Linked DNA regions of Macaca fascicularis. The protein of the gene in region 3 purifies or fractionates together with the protein of the main gene of each other region. This does not show direct contact. Links are inferred from orthologs where the notes say so. Each region holds a gene or a part of one and is shown on either strand. Other genes may lie near its edges.

Evidence for each region.
Region 1: the proteins of BTK (region 3) and ANKRD54 purify together in Homo sapiens (affinity purification with mass spectrometry; 4 studies listed by BioGRID and IntAct, counting the BioPlex papers as one, with this or other methods). This does not show direct contact. The link is inferred for Macaca fascicularis from reciprocal best matches to the Homo sapiens genes BTK and ANKRD54.
Region 2: the proteins of BTK (region 3) and BLNK purify together in Homo sapiens (affinity purification with western blotting; 5 studies listed by BioGRID and IntAct, with this or other methods). This does not show direct contact. The link is inferred for Macaca fascicularis from reciprocal best matches to the Homo sapiens genes BTK and BLNK.

What each region holds. Positions count from the first base shown.
Region 1 is NC_088384.1:13,777,395-13,783,397, forward strand, and holds the start of ANKRD54 (ankyrin repeat domain-containing protein 54), read left to right. Parts: upstream 1-1,986; 5' UTR 1,987-2,078; coding exon 2,079-2,403; intron 2,404-5,755; coding exon 5,756-5,803; intron 5,804-6,003. UniProt on the Homo sapiens protein: Plays an important role in regulating intracellular signaling events associated with erythroid terminal differentiation.
Region 2 is NC_088383.1:105,211,505-105,217,284, reverse strand, and holds the start of BLNK (B-cell linker protein), read left to right. Parts: upstream 1-1,763; 5' UTR 1,764-1,934; coding exon 1,935-2,017; intron 2,018-5,780. UniProt on the Homo sapiens protein: Functions as a central linker protein, downstream of the B-cell receptor (BCR), bridging the SYK kinase to a multitude of signaling pathways and regulating biological outcomes of B-cell function and development.
Region 3 is NC_088395.1:108,038,841-108,044,148, reverse strand, and holds part of BTK (tyrosine-protein kinase BTK), read left to right. Parts: intron 1-2,231; coding exon 2,232-2,300; intron 2,301-3,849; coding exon 3,850-3,931; intron 3,932-5,308. UniProt on the Homo sapiens protein: Non-receptor tyrosine kinase indispensable for B lymphocyte development, differentiation and signaling. Binding of antigen to the B-cell antigen receptor (BCR) triggers signaling that ultimately leads to B-cell activation.

The sequences.
Region 1 (6,003 bases), on a different chromosome or scaffold from region 3:
GCATTTTTCTCCATATAGTACAATGATAAACCTCACAATGGCGACCTGCAAACACTGAAAATTCTGGAAGTGCTTTTCCAATTGTAAGAGATTTTTTTCTTTTTCTTTTTTTTTTTTTTTTTTTTGAGACGGAGTCTCGCTCTGTAGCCCGGGCTGGAGTGCAGTGGCCGGATCTCAGCTCACTGCAAGCTCCGCCTCCCGGGTTCACGCCATTCTCCTGCCTCAGCCTCCCGAGTAGCTGGGACTACAGGCGCCCACCACCTCGCCTGGCTAGTTTTTTGTATTTTTTAGTAGAGACGGGGTTTCACCGTGTTAGCCAGGATGGTCTCGATCTCCTGACCTCGTGATCCGCCCGTCTCGGCCTCCCAAAGTGCTGGGATTACAGGCTTGAGCCACCGCGCCCGGCCTCTTTTTTTCTTTTTTTGAGATGGACTCTCGCTCTGTCACCCAGGCTGGACTGCCATGGCACAATCTCAGCTCACCGCAACCTCTGCTTCCCAGGTTAAAACGACTCTCCTGTCTCAGTCTCCTGAGTAGCTGGGATTACAGGTATGCGCCACCACACCCGGCTAATTTTTGTATTTTTAGTAGAAACGGGGTTTCATCATGTTGTCCAGGCTTGTCTTGAACTCCTGACCTTGTGATCTGCCCATCTTGGCCTCCCAAAGTGCTGGGATTACAGGTGTGACCCACCATGCCCGGCTGAAAGATTACATTTTAACTGGGTTGAGTGAGAGGGTTTATATATGGCAAAAACTTTTGCCTGGACACAAGACTTGGTCCCATGAGAGCTGGGCAACAGTGAATGAGTCTCTTCTCTCTGCTTTTCAACTCATCTATAAAATAGGGACAGTCCTTCTTGTCTACTTTATAGAAGTGTTTGTGGGGTACGGGATTGTGAGAAGTTTTACGAAAAGGTGCACCCATGAAATGTTGCTTGAGGAACACTTATTTGTTTCCTGGTCTCCTCCCATTAGACTGTGAGCATCTCAGGGGCACCAAGTCTGATCCTGTGTCCAGGACCTGGCAGTCAACTGGCTCAGTGACTGGCTGTCGAACTAAACTATTGCTCTAATGTAATCACTTTGTATTACAAATCTTTGTAAATCAGCTATCTACGTCGGGGTTACCTAGAGAACTCTGACTAAAGGAAATCCATTGCATTTAGACACTATGACTCACAGTGTGTAGTGATATCTCCAAATTTCAACACATTTTCCCTTTCCCACGTACATTATGCATTTGTGGGAAGTTCTTTTTTTCTTTTTCTTTTTCTTTTTTTTTTTGCGTTCATTGATTTACAACATCTATATCTATCTACATGAATAGCGTGGCTTCTTCATTTTCCTTTGTGAGTGCCTGCAAATCATCTTAATCTGATTGGCTAAGGTATCTGCTTGTTCTTTCGTTAGACCGGGAAATGGAGAGGAAAAAGAAAAAAAGAGACCGGGCGCGGTGGCTCACGCCTGTAATCCCAGCACTTTGGGAGACCGAGGTGGGCGGATCTCGAGATCAAGAGATCGAGACCATCCTGGCCAATATAGTGAAACCCCATCTCTACTAAAAATAAAAAAATTAGCTAAGCGTGATGGCGCGCGCCTGTAGTCCCAGCTACTCGGGAGGCTGAGGCAGGAGAATCGCTTGAACCCAGGAGGCGGAGGTTGCAGTGAGCCAAGATCGCCAACCTGGCGACAGACTGAGACTCCAAAAAAAGAAAAAAAGTGTCTGAAATGCCATTTTATGGGCTCCGGTAGCGACGTAGCGCGAAAGCCAAAGTCACTTTAAGTTTATGATTGGTTATTATGTCTGTCAGTCACGTTGCCGGAAATCCTGTCCAATTATCCTGCTTATACTGTGCCCTCCCTTTCCGATTGGTTTTGGGAGGGGTTTAAGCTGGAAGGGTCGTCATTGGTTCGCCGCTACGGCTCGGCCTGAGCCCACCCCGGCTCGGTTGCCGTGGTTTCAGGCCCGGCCAGCCCGCCCGCTAGCTGACAGCGCGACTCAGATAGGAGGGAAGTAGGTCCGTTGGTCGATCGGGAACGAGGCTCCGGCGGCCAGGCCCGCGCGGAGCCGTTGCCATGGCAGCCGCCGCCGGGGACGCGGACGACGAGCGGCGCTCGGGCCACTCGAGCTCGGAGGGCGAGTGCGCGGTGGCGCCGGAGCCGCTGACGGGCGCTGAGGGCCTCTTCTCTTTCGCCGACTTCGGGTCTGCGCTGGGCGGCGGCGCGGGCCTCTCGAGCCGAGCGTCCGGCGGGGCCCAGTCGCCGCTGCGCTACCTGCATGTCCTGTGGCAGCAGGATGCGGAGCCGCGCGACGAGCTGCGCTGCAAGATCCCCGCCGGCCGACTGAGGCGCGCCGCCAGGCCCCACCGGCGGCTCGGGCCCACGGGCAAGGAGGTGCACGGTGAGCTGCGCGAGCGGCGCGGGGGCCCGGGGCGGAGCAACCCGGATGAGGGGCGGGGCTTTGGAGGACGGCTGGCGGCGCTTTGGTCGCCCCCGACCCTCAGTCGCGGTCCCCCGACGTCTGCGCTGAGGGCCACACTGACCCTTGAGTCTCCTTTCAGTAATGACGGTGATGATGGTTTTTAAAAAAGTCTTCCTGCTCTGAGACAGTCACCCCAGACTTCTCTCACTGGGGAATTTCTGAATGGAAACTTCCCATGACTCGGAACACTTATTGGTGGATAATAAAATGAGGCACTGGAGAACACTTTTATTATCAGGGAGAGGGGAGGCCAGAACCTGCAGCCAAGTCGTATCAGCTTGTTTAAATGCACGGACTTGGACTCCTTTACCACGTTAAGACCTTAGGGCAAATGATAGACCCTTTAAACTTTAGTTTACTTTTTAAATTTTTTTATTTTTTATTTTATTTATTATGATTATTATTATTATATTTTTTGAGACGGAGTCTCTCTCTGTTGCCCAGGCTGGAGTGCAGTGGCGTGATCTCGGTTCACTGCAACCTCCGCCCCCCGGGTTTAAGCGATTCTCCTGCCTCAGCCTCCCCAGTAGCTGGGGTTACAGGTGCCCGCTACCACCCCTGGTTAATTTTTGTAATTTTAGTAGAGATGGGGTTTCGCCATGTTGGCCAGGCTAGTCTCGAACTCCTGACCTCAGGTGATCCACCTGCCTCGGCCTCCCAAAGTACTGGCATAACAGGCATGAGCCATTGGCCTGGCCTCAGCCTTAGTTTTCTCATTTGTAAAATGGGTTGAGTTAAGTAAGGTAATGGACGTTTAGTTGTTATGCTGCTTTTGTTGTGCCCCAAACATGCTGATACATGATCATTTGTCCTCACAAGAACTCTTTGAGATATAGGAATTCTTCCCATTTTACTGAAGAGGAAACTGAGGCTCAGAGAAATTGTCTTATTCCAGGTCACATAACAAGTGGCTGTTGCTGATATTAGAATCTGGGTCAGCCCGACTCAAACTCCTGCTCTGGTATATCTACCATATTGTCTTCTATATTACATGGGTGACACCGAAACCCAGGCACTGAGAGATTAAGAATGGGGACTTTCGGGATTTCTTCCAGGACTGGCTATGACTAGCCATATTTTCGTCATGTTGCAAAGATTAAGAATTTGGAAGTGTTGTATAGACTGTACAGTGCTGTATGAAAGCAAGGAATTGTTATGTATCTGAATTGCAATTTTTGACCATATCTCCAATGACAAAAACATTGCTTTCCATTAGCCATTGGAGGGGGAAAAACTTTCTGCTTAGGAAATACCAAATTTAGGCAAATCATTTGGGAACGACCTGCTTTGAAGGAGAATATAAGATGATCTGTGTGACCAGCTCACAAAGAGCTTCCATGTAAATCATTTACAATAACTCAGGGCTGGCAGAACAACTCAGCCTTGTTGTGCAGATGATAGACCTGAGGCCCAGCGGGGTTAACTAGCTTGCTCAAGGTCACCCTGCGACTACAAGTGATAGAGAGGAAATCTGGTTCCAAAAAAAGTCTTGGAGGATTTGCAGGAGCATGTGGCCTTTGTACTAGCTCCGCCTCATTTCAAGTTCCTCCTTGTTCCCAGGGCACTGTCTTTCTTTTCTTGTTTGAAGACAGAGTGTCACTTTACCACCCAGGCTGCTGTGCAAGTGGTGCAATCTTGGCTTACTGCCTCAGCCTCCCAAGTAGCTGGGACTACAGGCCCACGCCACCACACCCAGCTAGTTTTTGTATTTTTAGTAGAGAGAGGGTTTTACCATGTTAGATAGATTTAAGTTAGAACTTAACCTAAGATTTAGAAATATGTTTTCTTTCTTTTTTTTTTTTTTGAGATCGAGCGTTGCTCTGCCACCCAGGCTGGAGTGCCGTGGGGTGATTTTGGGCTCAAGTGATTCTTGTGTCTCAGCCTCCTAAGTAGCTGGGATTACAGGCATGCACCACCACACCTGCCTACTCTTTGTATTTTTATTTTATTTATTTATTTATTTTTATTTTATTTTACTTATTTATGTATTTATTTATTTATTTTGAGACGGAGTCTCATCTGTCGCCCAGGCTGGAGTGCAGTGGCGCAATCTTGGCTCACTGCAACCTCTGGCTCTCAGGTTCAAGCGATTCTCCTGCCTTAGCCTCCCGAGTAGTTGGGATAACAGGCATGCACCACCATGCCTGGCTAATTTTTGTATTTTTAGTAGAGACAGGATTTCACCTTACTGGCCAGGCTGGTCTCAAACTCCTGACCTCGTGATCCACCCACCTTGGCCTCTCAAACTGTTGGGATTACAAGCGTGAGCCACTGCACTCGGCCTTTTTTTTTTTTCCCTTTTTTTTTTTTTTTTTTTTTTTTTTTTTGGTGACAGTCTCACTCTGTTGCCCAAGCTGGAGTACAGTGGCACAATCTTGGCTCACTGCAACCTCTGCCTCCTGGGCTTAAGCGATTCTCCTGCCTGAGCCTCCCAAGTAGCTGGGATTATAGGTGTGCACCCCCATGCCCAACTAATTTTTTGTATTTTGCTATAGACAAGGTTTCACCATGTTGCCTAGGGTGGTTTCAAACTCTAGAGCACGGGCAATCTGCCCGCCTCAGCTTTCCAACGTTCTGGGATTACAGGCATGAGTCACCACGTCTGGCTATTTTTGTATTTTTAGTAGAGATGGGGTTTCACCTATTGGCTGGGCTGGTCTTGAACTCCTAGCCTCAAGTGATCTACCTGCCTTGGCCTCCCAAAGTACTGGGATTATAGGCATGAACCACTGTGCCCGGCCATCATAGCTTTTTTTTTTTTTTTTTTTTTCTCCCTGAGACAGAGTCTCGCTTTGTCTCGCAGTGACGTAATCTCAGCTCACTGTGGCCTCCACCTTCTGGCTTCAACCCATTCTCCTACCTCAGCCTCCTAAGTAGCTGGTATTACAGGCGCACACCACCACACCTGGCTAGATGGCTATTTTTTTGTTTTTGTTTTTGTTTTCTAAGACAGAGTATCACTCTGTCACCCAGGCTGGAGTGCAGTGGCACGATTTTGGCTTACTGCAACCTCCACATTCTGGGTTCAAGCGATTCTCCTGCCTCAGCCTCCAGAGTAGCTGGGATTACAGGCATGCGCCACCACACTCAGCTAATTTTCTTGTAGTTTTAGTAGAGACGGGCTTTCACCATGTTGTCCAGGCTGGTTTTGAACTCCTGGCCTCAAGTGATTTGCCTGCCTCGGCCTCCCAAAGTGCTAGGATTACAAGCGTGAGTCATCACGCCCAGCCAATGACTGTTTTTTTAAACTAGCATGTTACTCTCTTTACAGCTCTGAAGAGACTGAGGGACTCAGCCAATGCCAACGATGTGGAAACAGGTGAGTGTGCACAGTGGGTTCAACTACAGGGACCCATGGGCTGGTTGGGGAAGGAAAAGGCCAGGTAATCAGTATATGGGAAGGCAGTCTACAAGCTCACCCCCTTGGAGCAGGCTCACGTATTTATTGTCTGACTGTGCAGTCATCTTGCTGAAGGTAAGTCTAGCTTAGACACTTACTTTCCCCATGCTCCCCTGTCA
Region 2 (5,780 bases), on a different chromosome or scaffold from region 3:
AGGGTTGTTACTACATCTGCACTAAGCCTGGGGCAGAGAGCAGGGAGGCCCCAGAGCCCTGCACTTCCTGGAGAAGAACCTTTAAAAGGAGGACCACAGTGTGCAGTGTTCAGGCCACTCTGGGGCCTTTCTACAATTCCAAGCTGTTAGTGTGGATCTGTGGACAAGAAGGTGTGGTCCTTCTGAAACATCTCCATACCATCCATTCCTCCTTTTGAGCAGCATCTAGAGTGAAAAATCCTTAATACAGCATCAAAGGGCTAACCTAAGTGTGAGTCAGGTGCCTTTCCTGATTCCACAGTCTTCTGTGCCTCTCTGCCCATGAAAGCATGTGCCATCCTGTGTTGTAATGATTTAATCCCTTGTGTATACTCCACGCTGGACTATAAGTCTTGCTGTATTTACAGCTGAATCCCCAGCATCATAGTACAGTACCTGGTAAAGTAGGCTGACTAGTAAGTGTTTGAAGAACAAATTCAAATTCAAATGTAGTTGACTTTATTTATTTATTTATTTATTTATTTATTTTTGAGGTGGAGTCTCACTCTTTCATCCAGGCTGAAGTGGCATGATCTTTGCTCACTGCAACCTCCACCCCCCAGGTTCAAGTGATTCTCCTGCCTCAGCCTCCTGAGTAGCTGGGATTACAGGTCCGTGCCACCACACCCAACTAATTTTTGTATTTTTAGTAGAGACGGTTACTCCATGTTGGCCAGGCCGGTCTCGAACTCTCGACCTCAGGTGATCCACCTGCCTTGGCCTCCCAAAGTGCTAGGATTACAGACATGAGCCACTGCACCTGGCCGTTGATATTGTTATTAAGCTTTTACACTGTTTGGGCAACTGTGATATAAATCTTCTGCCATGACCACCTTTCTCCATCTTAAACATTCCCAATTAAATGTCCCTTCAATATGAGCAAGTAGAATACAGGTGTTAAGGAACCAGACGACCTGAAATCAAAACTCAGACATTTATGAGCTGTGTGACCTTGGGCAAGTTACCAAACCTTTCTGTGTTTCATTTCCCTTATCTCTGCAATGGAGATTAGAATGATTTCTATCTTACAGGTGCCTATGAGGACTAAAGCACTTCAAAGAGCACTGGCATGCAAGTTGCCACAACTGTCCATTGCTATTGTAATAGCCCAGGTTTCTCCTTGTTCCCCCTCCACTTCCCTGTGTTCCCATATACTTTGTAGGTAACCCTGTCACAGTCCTTCCCAATGGCCTTTTGCTTTCCCTAGACTTTTCCAAAAGTGGTGCCAGGCCCGCTTAGGAATAGCTGACACAGGAGGATCACTTGAGCCCAGTAGGTCGAGGCTGCAGAGAGCCCTGTTCATGCCACTGAACTCCAGCGTGGGTAACAGAGTTAGACTCTGTCTCAAAAAAGAAAATAAAACAAGACAAAAAAATAAAACAGACCTAGGACTCTAATGAGACCAGAGGGGTGTCCTGCAATGATTCATGGGAACACTGGTCCCATGAAGTGTTCCAGGCAAAACAAAAATTCTGTAGTGAATTAAGTGTAGAGAAACCAGAGAAACTCTATACAATGTGTGTTAGAACATTAAAGGTTTGTAATAAACTGTATTCACCCATTGTATTCTCAACGTGCTTACCTTTTGTTTGTTTGTTTTGTAGAACACCTATAGCACCCTTCTGAATGCAACTGGAAGTATTGGTGCCTAAGGAGCTACACAAGCCTGAACCTCCTGCTACTTGCCAGATGTATGAGCTTGAGCCATTCCCTTACCCCATGGGGGGATCACAGCTTCCAACATGTAAAATAGCAGTCATAGTGCCAACTTCTTCACATTATAAGTGATGAATAAGATAGCATGACAACTGCCTGCCTGGTCCACATGGGAGCTGGGCCACTGTTCTGTCCTCCCCTCCACGCTGCCAACACCATGATGCTGGCAGATGTGACCAATGCTCCTGCCTGTTCGGGTGATGATGGCTCTGAGGAAACAAAGAACACAGCAGCTCACTGGTCTCCGTGCTGATGCTCCCAGGTAGCCACTGCTCCTCTTAGTTTGGGATTGTTTTTAAATTTTTTCCATTTTGGGTAATATTTAGTCTCCACATGATCATTCTTACAGATCTTTATTGAGTACAAGTGTATGGGGCAAGAAGCAATGGGGAGAATTTTAGGTTTTCTATGGTTCAGTGGAGAAGCAGTCCTCTCCCCATCAGCAAACATTATTTTTATCCTTAGGAGTCCTGTTGTTATTCTCTGTGCACAGTGGAGGAAGTCAGTTTGAGAGAGAAAACTTCTGTTTCCGGTACTTTGATTTTCTTTTATATCAAATATCTTGTATCATCTATTCATTTCAAGGTGTAGATCTGGGACCTGTGCCATCCTCAAATGTGCGGGCAGGGTTTTGTTTTGGTTTGGTTTTTCACCGAGCACCAGCTTCCTCTGTTGCCTGAACAGCTGTGTTTGGTTCTTGGCAGCAAGTGTCTTCTGGAGCTTAGAACTGCCTTGCCAGGAACATGTGTAGAGTGTCTTGAATGAAAAATAAACCTTGGAAAATTTGTTTCTTGCCGTTAAGAAGCATTTGGTAGCTATACATGTTGGGTGCCTAACAAGAACAAGAAATTTTAGTTATAACAGGGGTTCACTTTCATCTACAAGGTAAGAAGTGATAGTTAGAACAATGGAATTGATGTACAACAGCAGCTTATTTGTGACTTCTAGTCTTTATTCCAAAATGTTTATTAAACTTAGCTGTATACAAAATTATGGGTGACAGCATGAATATCAGGCATGGAGGGGAGAAAATACAGGGATTTGCTTCAAGGACAAATTTGAATAGGAGAGTTGGGATTTTATTTGCAAAGAGTTAGGAGCTGTCGAAGGTGTTTAAGCAAACACTGAAGGTGATCAAAATGGTGCCCTAGGGAAATTAATCAGGCAATGATGAATGGGGTGAATTGGTGAGGCAGAAAGAAGGGAAGCAATCAGGAGACAATTATAATAAGATGTGACTTGGGGCCACTGGAGAGAATGAGAACAGAGCCTGGGCGAGATGATAGACCTTGTGCTGTGGATCAGTGGTTGGGGCCATGGCTCCTGGGTATCTGGGGGTAAAATCCTCTAGTCCTGCCAATATCCCATAACTTCCAAATCTTTATCTCTAGCCCATTTCTCTCTCTTGAGCACCAGACCCATTTACATTCCACTGAAAAATACTATTCAAAATTCCTAAAACAGAACTACTCATCATCACTCCCCAAACTGCTCCTTCACTTCTCTCACCACATCCTTTTAATTCTTGTTCTTGACTGATAATGTCTCTAAGGTAAGCAGTTAAACACATCTTTCTCTCCTGGGGCTTATGAACTGAGTGCGAAACAAGCATGGGTCTGTTGGCAGTGGGGTGCATGTGAATGTTTAGCAGCCAGCTTGCAAAGTTCCAGAACATTTGACCATGAGTTCTTGTGAGCTGGCATCAGCTGACTCCAGCACACCACTGTGACCAGAGTCACAAGATCAGCTTTATTACTGGTAAACTGGAGAATCTGACTTGATGCTTTAGCTCCAACCTTCCAGACATATATAACTGAATTGAGAAGTTTATGATACAATAATATTATCATATATACTGGTAATAACAGTCATCTCTAAAGATGTTAGGCTTTGTGAAGTGCTTTACCATTTATCCTCACATTCCTCAGAAGGCCCTGGAAGATGTTTAGCTTGCCCCCTTACACTCATCTGCTGGAGGAATTCAGAGGAGGGCGGGAAAAGGTGGCAGGAAGGGCACTCACAGGGGAGGGAGCCTGTCACGGGCCAGGAGGGCTGGAAGGATTTGAGCAGATGGGGGAAACGGAGAGAAGCCAGGTTTGGAGCAGACCTCACAGACCGCCTAGAGCCTGAGTTGGCACTGAGAAGTCATGGGAGCTTCTGAGCAGGACAGTGGCAGGCCTGAGGCAGGGTCACAGAGGGGCAGCCCTGCAGTGAATGTACCATGGTCCAGAACGGGACTCCTTGAAGGTGCAGAGAGCTGAAGCTGCTACTTCAGCTGGGTCACTATTGCAAATGGCCCGAAGAGAACCATGGAAGCCTCAACGGGTACCATTCATTCATTCAATGCATATTGACTACGTGCCTATTATGTGCCAGGCACTTCTAGGCATTAGTAATACAGAGTGAATAAAACAACCCCTGCTTCATGAGATTTACATACTTGTCTGTTACTGGAAGGAAACAGACAATAAATAAAATTATTCAAGAATCTCAAGCAGGCCAGATGGTGATAAATGCTGTAGAGAGAAATAAAGGGGACAGGGCATGCCAGGATCGGGTTGGGGTGGCAGTCTAAGATTATCCAATTAGGCTTCATTGAGGAGATGACATTTTAGCAAAGATCTGAAAGAAACCAATGATGGTAGTGATGGAAACAGGCATAAATGTGCCAGACCAAGGAGGCAGATCATAAAGAAATCATTTTAAAAGGAGAGAGGATGGGCACATCAAAATCTCAGAAATCACACTTAAAGAACTTATCCACCTAACCAAACACCACTTGTTCCCCAAAAACTACTGGAAAAAAAAAAGTCTACCTTAAAAAAAAAATTGAGGCCAGGCTCATGCCTGTAATCCTAGCATTTTGGGAGGTTGAGGTAGGAGAATCATTTGAGACCAGGAGTTCAAGACCAACCTGGGCAACAAAGCAGGACCCTGTCTCTACAAAAATAAAAGTAAAAAATTAGTTGAGTGTGGTGGTGCAGGAGGATTTCTTGAACCCAGAAGGTTGAGGCTATAGTGAGCCATGACTGTGCCACTGCACTCCAGCCTGGGCAACAGAGCCAGATCTTATTTCATAAATAAATAAATAAAGAGAGAGACAGAGAGAATCTCACAATTATTTAGGCAGTGAATTGGAAAACAATAGTTTTGGGTTATAAAACCAAAATTGTAAAATACAATTAAACCAAACTTGAAATGTGTTTGACCTTTATGGTTTGAAAAGAGTCAGTTAAATATTTCAGTTATTGTTTACTGGATCTTACGGAGGGCATTTTATGCTATAGTAGTATTTGTAGTGTTTATAACACTAGGGGATTGAGACAGTCTTATCAGAGTGAAATGAATAGCAAATAGAGACTCATCATAACAATATGCTTCAGATTCCCCAGTTACTCCCAGTGCCTTAGTAATGTACCTTTTTTACCTCGTGCTATAAACATTTATCCTTGGCCCAGGCACGGTGGCTCATGCCTGCAATCCCAGCACTTTGGGAGGCCGAGGAAGGAGGATCAGTTGAGGTCAGGAGTTTGAGACCAGCCTAGGTCGAGATGATGAAACCCTGTCTCTACTAAAAATACAAAAATTAGCTGAGCATGGTGGCACACAACTGTAATCCCAGCTACTCACGAGGCTGAGGCAGGAGAATCACTTGAACCCAGGAGGTGGAGTTGCACTGAGCCGAGATCACACTGCTGTACTCCAGCCTGAGCAACAGAGCAAGACTCCATCTTGTAACTGGTTTCTCTGGATGGAAGAGGAATGGTGTTCACAGTCTCTAATTTGGGCCTGTCATCTATGTACAAAGACATGTGCCAAGTCCTCTAAGGCATACGAAGAAGGTTATACTCTAGAACAAAGAATAAAAAACAAAACGACAACAACAAAAAAAACCACATTTATCCTCAAGGTCACAGATCCCCCACTGTAGTGGATGCTGTGGTGAGCTGCCCAGAGCCCCCTTCAGGAGGGAGGCACCATTCCTTCTGCCACTGACAATGGCAGAGCTGATGGCTTAGTGTTAG
Region 3 (5,308 bases):
TCTTCACTAAGAACACATACAGATACACTTATATATGTTATACATTTAAAACATAGACTCATAGTACACATCTTGCTTTGTAACCTACTTTTTCAATGTAACGATACGTGGGAAACTGTTCCTCATGACAATAGATACTCTCTAATAACATGATTTTAATGACTGCATGGTATTCCCTATTATGGATGTATTGTAATTTGTTTAACTAATCTCCCATTATTACACATTCAGTTTGTCTACAAGTGCTTGATAGTATAAACCATGTTGAGAAGAACAATCTTGCATACATCTTTCTGTACTTTTTTTATTCTTTTCCTTATGATAATTTCCTAGAAGTAAAATTTTGTTCTTCTCTTTAAGAAAATCTGTGCACTTTGGTTATTTTTATCTTTTTATTTCATTTTCTAGAAGTGGAATTGAATTTCATACACTACAAGCTATGTATGAGAGTGCCTGTTTCTGTACATTTTTTCCAACACTTGATATTTTATGTTGTTGTTGTTGTTATTATTATTATTATTATTTGAGACGGATTCTCGCCTGTCGCCCAGCCTGGAGGGCAGTGGTGCGATCTCCGCTCACTGCAACCTCCACCTCCAGTTCAATTGATTCTCTTGTCCCAGCCTCCTGAGTAGCTGGGACTACAGGTACCCACCACCACACCCGGCTAATTTTTGCATTTTTAGTAGAGATGGGGTTTCACCAGGTTGGCCAGGCTGATCTCTAACTCCTGACCTCAAGGGATCCTCCCACCTCGGGCTTCCCAAAGTGCTGGGATTACAAGCGTGAGCCACTGTGCCCGGCCCAACACTAGATATTTTAAATATTAGTTAATTTGACAGCCAAGAAAAATAGCATTTCAGGCAGGGCGCGGTGGTTTACGCCTGTAATCCCAGCACTTTGGGAGGCCAAGGCAAGCGGATCATGAGCAGGAGTTTGAGACCAGCCTGACCAACATGGTGAAACTCCGTCTCTACTAAAAATACAAAAATTAGCTGGGCATGGTGGTGCGAGCCTGTAATCCCAGTTACTCGGGAGGCTGAGGCAGGAGAATTCCTTGAACCCGGGAGATGAAGGTTGCAGTGAGCTGAGATCGCACCACTGCACTCCAGGCTGGGCGACAGAGCAAGACTCCATCTCAAAAAAAAAAATATATATATATATATAGAGAGAGAGAGAGAGAGAGAGAGAGAGCATTTTGTTGCTTATTTTGCAATTTCTTTTATTCATAAAGTTGGTCTACTGCTCATTTATATTTTATTTGTGAATTGCCCATTAATTTTTGGTCCTTTTTTTTTTTTTTTGAGACGGAGTCTCGCTTTGTCGCCCTGGCCGGATCTCTGCTCACTGCAAGCTCCGCCTCCCGGGTTTACGCCATTCTCCTACCTCAGCCTCCCGAGTAGCTGGGACTACAGGCGCCTGCCACCTCGCCCGGCTAGTTTTTTGTATTTTTTAGTAGAGACGGGGTTTCACCGTGTTAGCCAGGATGGTCTCGATCTCCTGACCTCGTGATTCGCCCGTCTCGGCCTCCCAAAGTGCTGGGATTACAGGCTTGAGCCACTGCGCCAGGCCCTTTTGGTCCATTTTTACATTGCGATGTTTACCTCATTTCTAATACTTTTAAAGAGATCTTGATATAAGAATATTAATCCTTTAACTGTAATGTATGCTGAAAATGTTTTTCAGTTTATCCTTTATCTTTCAATTTTGTTTATGATGCTTTTTGCCATATAGGGATTTAAAGTCTATGTCATCAAATTAGTTCAGTTTTTTCTCAATAGTTCTAAGTTTTATAATTATATTAGAAAAAGCTTGCCTCCCACAAAGTTATATAAATAATCGCTTATATTTACTCTCAGTCATTCATGGTTTTATTTTTTATATTAAGCTCTTGAATTCATCTGGAATTTTCTTTGGTGTATGGTGTAACATAGCTACCTAACTCCTCTCCTCCCCACAACATTAGTGGTTAAATATTTGTCCCAACAACAATTTTTTAGAAACCTTCATTTTCCCAATGATTTGAAATACCTGAGTCTCTCTTGACTGGGTATGCGCTGGGTCCTATTGTATATGTGTCCCTATTGACCTATAGAAAGTAATCACTAAGCATCAGCCTTGTCTGTGCAGGAGAAACTTCTGAAGCCACAGCAAAAGGCTTCCAGTACCTAAGGAAATTCAGAAAAGAGTAATGCATCAACCAATAACCATTTTTTCTTATTTCATTACAGAGAAGAGGTGAAGAGTCCAGTGAAATGGAGCAAATTTCAATCATTGAAAGATTCCCTTATCCCTTCCAGGTGAGTTACTTTCTCTCACCAAGTCTTGAAAGGCCCCTGTAACACAATTAGAAGGGGTGGTGGGGTGCAGGGCAGAGGGAAGGCTACGAGGACCCAGTAAATAGAAGTTGAGGTGGACAAAGATGCTGAACCAAGAAATGAGACCGGCATGGGTTGAGAATGTTTGCTTTTCTATTTACCTAATCTAATATAGTTTCTTTTAGTCTCTATACCTCAAAAAGAATACATAGCAGGACCAATTCTATCATAGTCTGTCTTGTCTATGATAACTGCATTGAGAAAGATGCTCTGCTTGTTGAGTGAGCATTTCACTTCCTTCTGGTTCTGATAATCTGTCTAATGGTGGTCATGTGGGTTGAAGACAGAAAAGGGGAGTAGTATTAGGAAGTTCAGTATGAGGAAGACTTATTAGACTTAGCATAAACCTAAATTCTGTTGTAATCTGGAAGAGCTGAAGTGCCACATATGCATCTGTTTAGGAGAGCAAGAACTACAAATTTGGTCTTCAGTTTGGCTTGCTTACATCCTGAGAACTCTGTAGGCCACATGTCGTGAATATAGCAGCCTCTGCAACAGTGAAAGCCAGAAAAGGAAGTGGAAAGTCTCAGGGGAGGGGGCTTTCTGTCATGGATTTATGAGCACAGCAAGACTAACAAGCAAAAAGAAAAATGTAAAAGGATCTTGTTCATGTCCCTGACTATATCAAAGTTACAAAACCTTTGAAAGAGGGGTATTTCAGATACAGTTTTTACTACCAATGCCTTTCAACAAAATGACATTGTTTGGCTGCACTAGTGAATAATGCTGAATAGCAGATAATTTTAAATTAATTTATATTTGACTTTATAATTTATTATGTGATGTCTATAAACTCTGTGAGGGTTGGAACCACATCTTATATATTTCGTGCATCTTCATAACACCTAGCATGATGCCTGTACATGGTTAAAAAAATACTATTTGACTTGATGATATTGCTTATTATATAACTTGCCCTTTTTGAAGTAGGTTTGTAGTTCCAAATTTGATTTATTTTGGCTAATATTGGTGAGGGGAAGCCACTAGGTAGTGGAGGTGGAGGTAATTAGCCATGAATTAAAATTTTACTCCATATTATCCAAGTGAATAACCTATATGTACTAATCAAGACAATTTATATAGATTATCACTTCAATTCTCTTCTATACAAAGTCAGAATTTAATAATAAGATAAAATACCCTTTGTTGGATAAACAAAAATGTTATCTCCAGCAAGGGCAGACTGAGACATTATAAAATAAGTTTATGCATGAATTGAAACACAAGTCAGGAGGGACCTAAGAGGATGAAAAATTCTAAGAGCTTTCAAATGCTACATCCTTAGATATGAAGAGTTCAGGAATCCTTCAGATAGTTCACATAACCTGAACACCACTGCTGACTGAAGATTCTGCCTTTCTTTGTTTTCTACAATGAATATACAAATTGTCCCCTAAGATTAGTACCTTGAAGGTCGTTCTCCTTTTTTTCTGAATCCTAACCGCGGAAGTCTGTGTTTTCATTGATCCAGGTTGTATATGATGAAGGGCCTCTCTACGTCTTCTCCCCAACTGAAGAACTAAGGAAGCGGTGGATTCACCAGCTCAAAAACGGTGAGAATTATTTGGAAAATAAATGTTTCCAAAGAAAGAAGGAAAGGAAGGAAGAGGAGATAGGTGGGAGGAAAAGGAAAGAAGGAAGAGCGAAACGAGAAAGAAAGAGAAAGGAGAAACGTAGAGAGAAAAGAAGAAAAAATGGATAGAAGGGGAGAAAAGAAAGAGAGAGGGAGGGGAGGAGGGAGACAGGAAGGAAGGAAGCAAGGAAAGAAGGAAGGGGGCCAGGCGCGGTGGCTCAAGCCTGTAATCCCAGCACTTTGGGAGGCCGAGACGGGCGAATCACGAGGTCAGGAGATCGAGACCATCCTGGCTAACACGGTGAAACCCCGTCTCTACTAAAAAATACAAAAAACTAGCCGGGCGAGGTGGCGGGCGCCTGTAGTCCCAGCTACTCGGGAGGCTGAGGCAGGAGAATGGCGTGAACCCGGGAGGCGGAGCTTGCAGTGAGCCGAGATCCGGCCACTGCGCTCCAGCCTGGGCTGCAGAGCGAGACTCCGTCTCAAAAAAAAAAAAAAAAAAAAAAAGAAGGAAGGGGATGAGGGAGGAAAGAAAGACAAATAGAAAAGAGAGAAACAAAGGAAAGTTTGTATTTTGCTTCAGTATTAGTAATACAACTGAGCTTAGTATTCTATCATATGAATAAAAGATAAAATATTAGACTAAGAGTTTCCCAGTTCTACCACTATCTCTCTAGTGCAATTTTGTAATTGTAGGCACCTCCATTTCTCTATTTATTAAAAAAAGTCCCATTTTTCACACTGAATACAAGGGTGATGTGGCATCCAATGGTTATGCAATATTTAGAATCCTAAGCATAAAATACCTAGCTCCAAAAAATTAAATAGATGATGTATGAGAGTGCTTGAAGTCAGAGTCAGAGAACCTGGTTTCAAGCCCTCTTTTACCACTTACAAACTGGGCGATTTCTGGCCAGAAGGTCAATAAGCTTCTTTGATGCTCAGTTTCTTCCTCTCAAAAGAGAATAATGGTAATTCATGCCACACCTACCTCTGGGGTTGTTGTAAGGATTAAATGAAGTAATAATACATGTAAAAGCACATGGAAAACTGTAAATCACTGTACATGAAAGCACTGTACATCTCTTTGTTGTGGATAAATATTTCCCAAGGAAATATTTTATATTCCTTGCTTTGTGAGGACCTAAACTTGAACAGTTTCAGCATTTCACATCAACCATACAGTGTGTTCAGATAAACTTGACTGTAAATGCTTGCAGCACAGGATGCATGCACACATATTTGCCTATATATATAGCCACATGTCAAGTGACTGAGAGATTAACTGGTTGAGTTGACATCAGGAAAGGCTGCCTAGAGAAACAGGAAGGATGGCAGACTGATAATGGTATGGTTG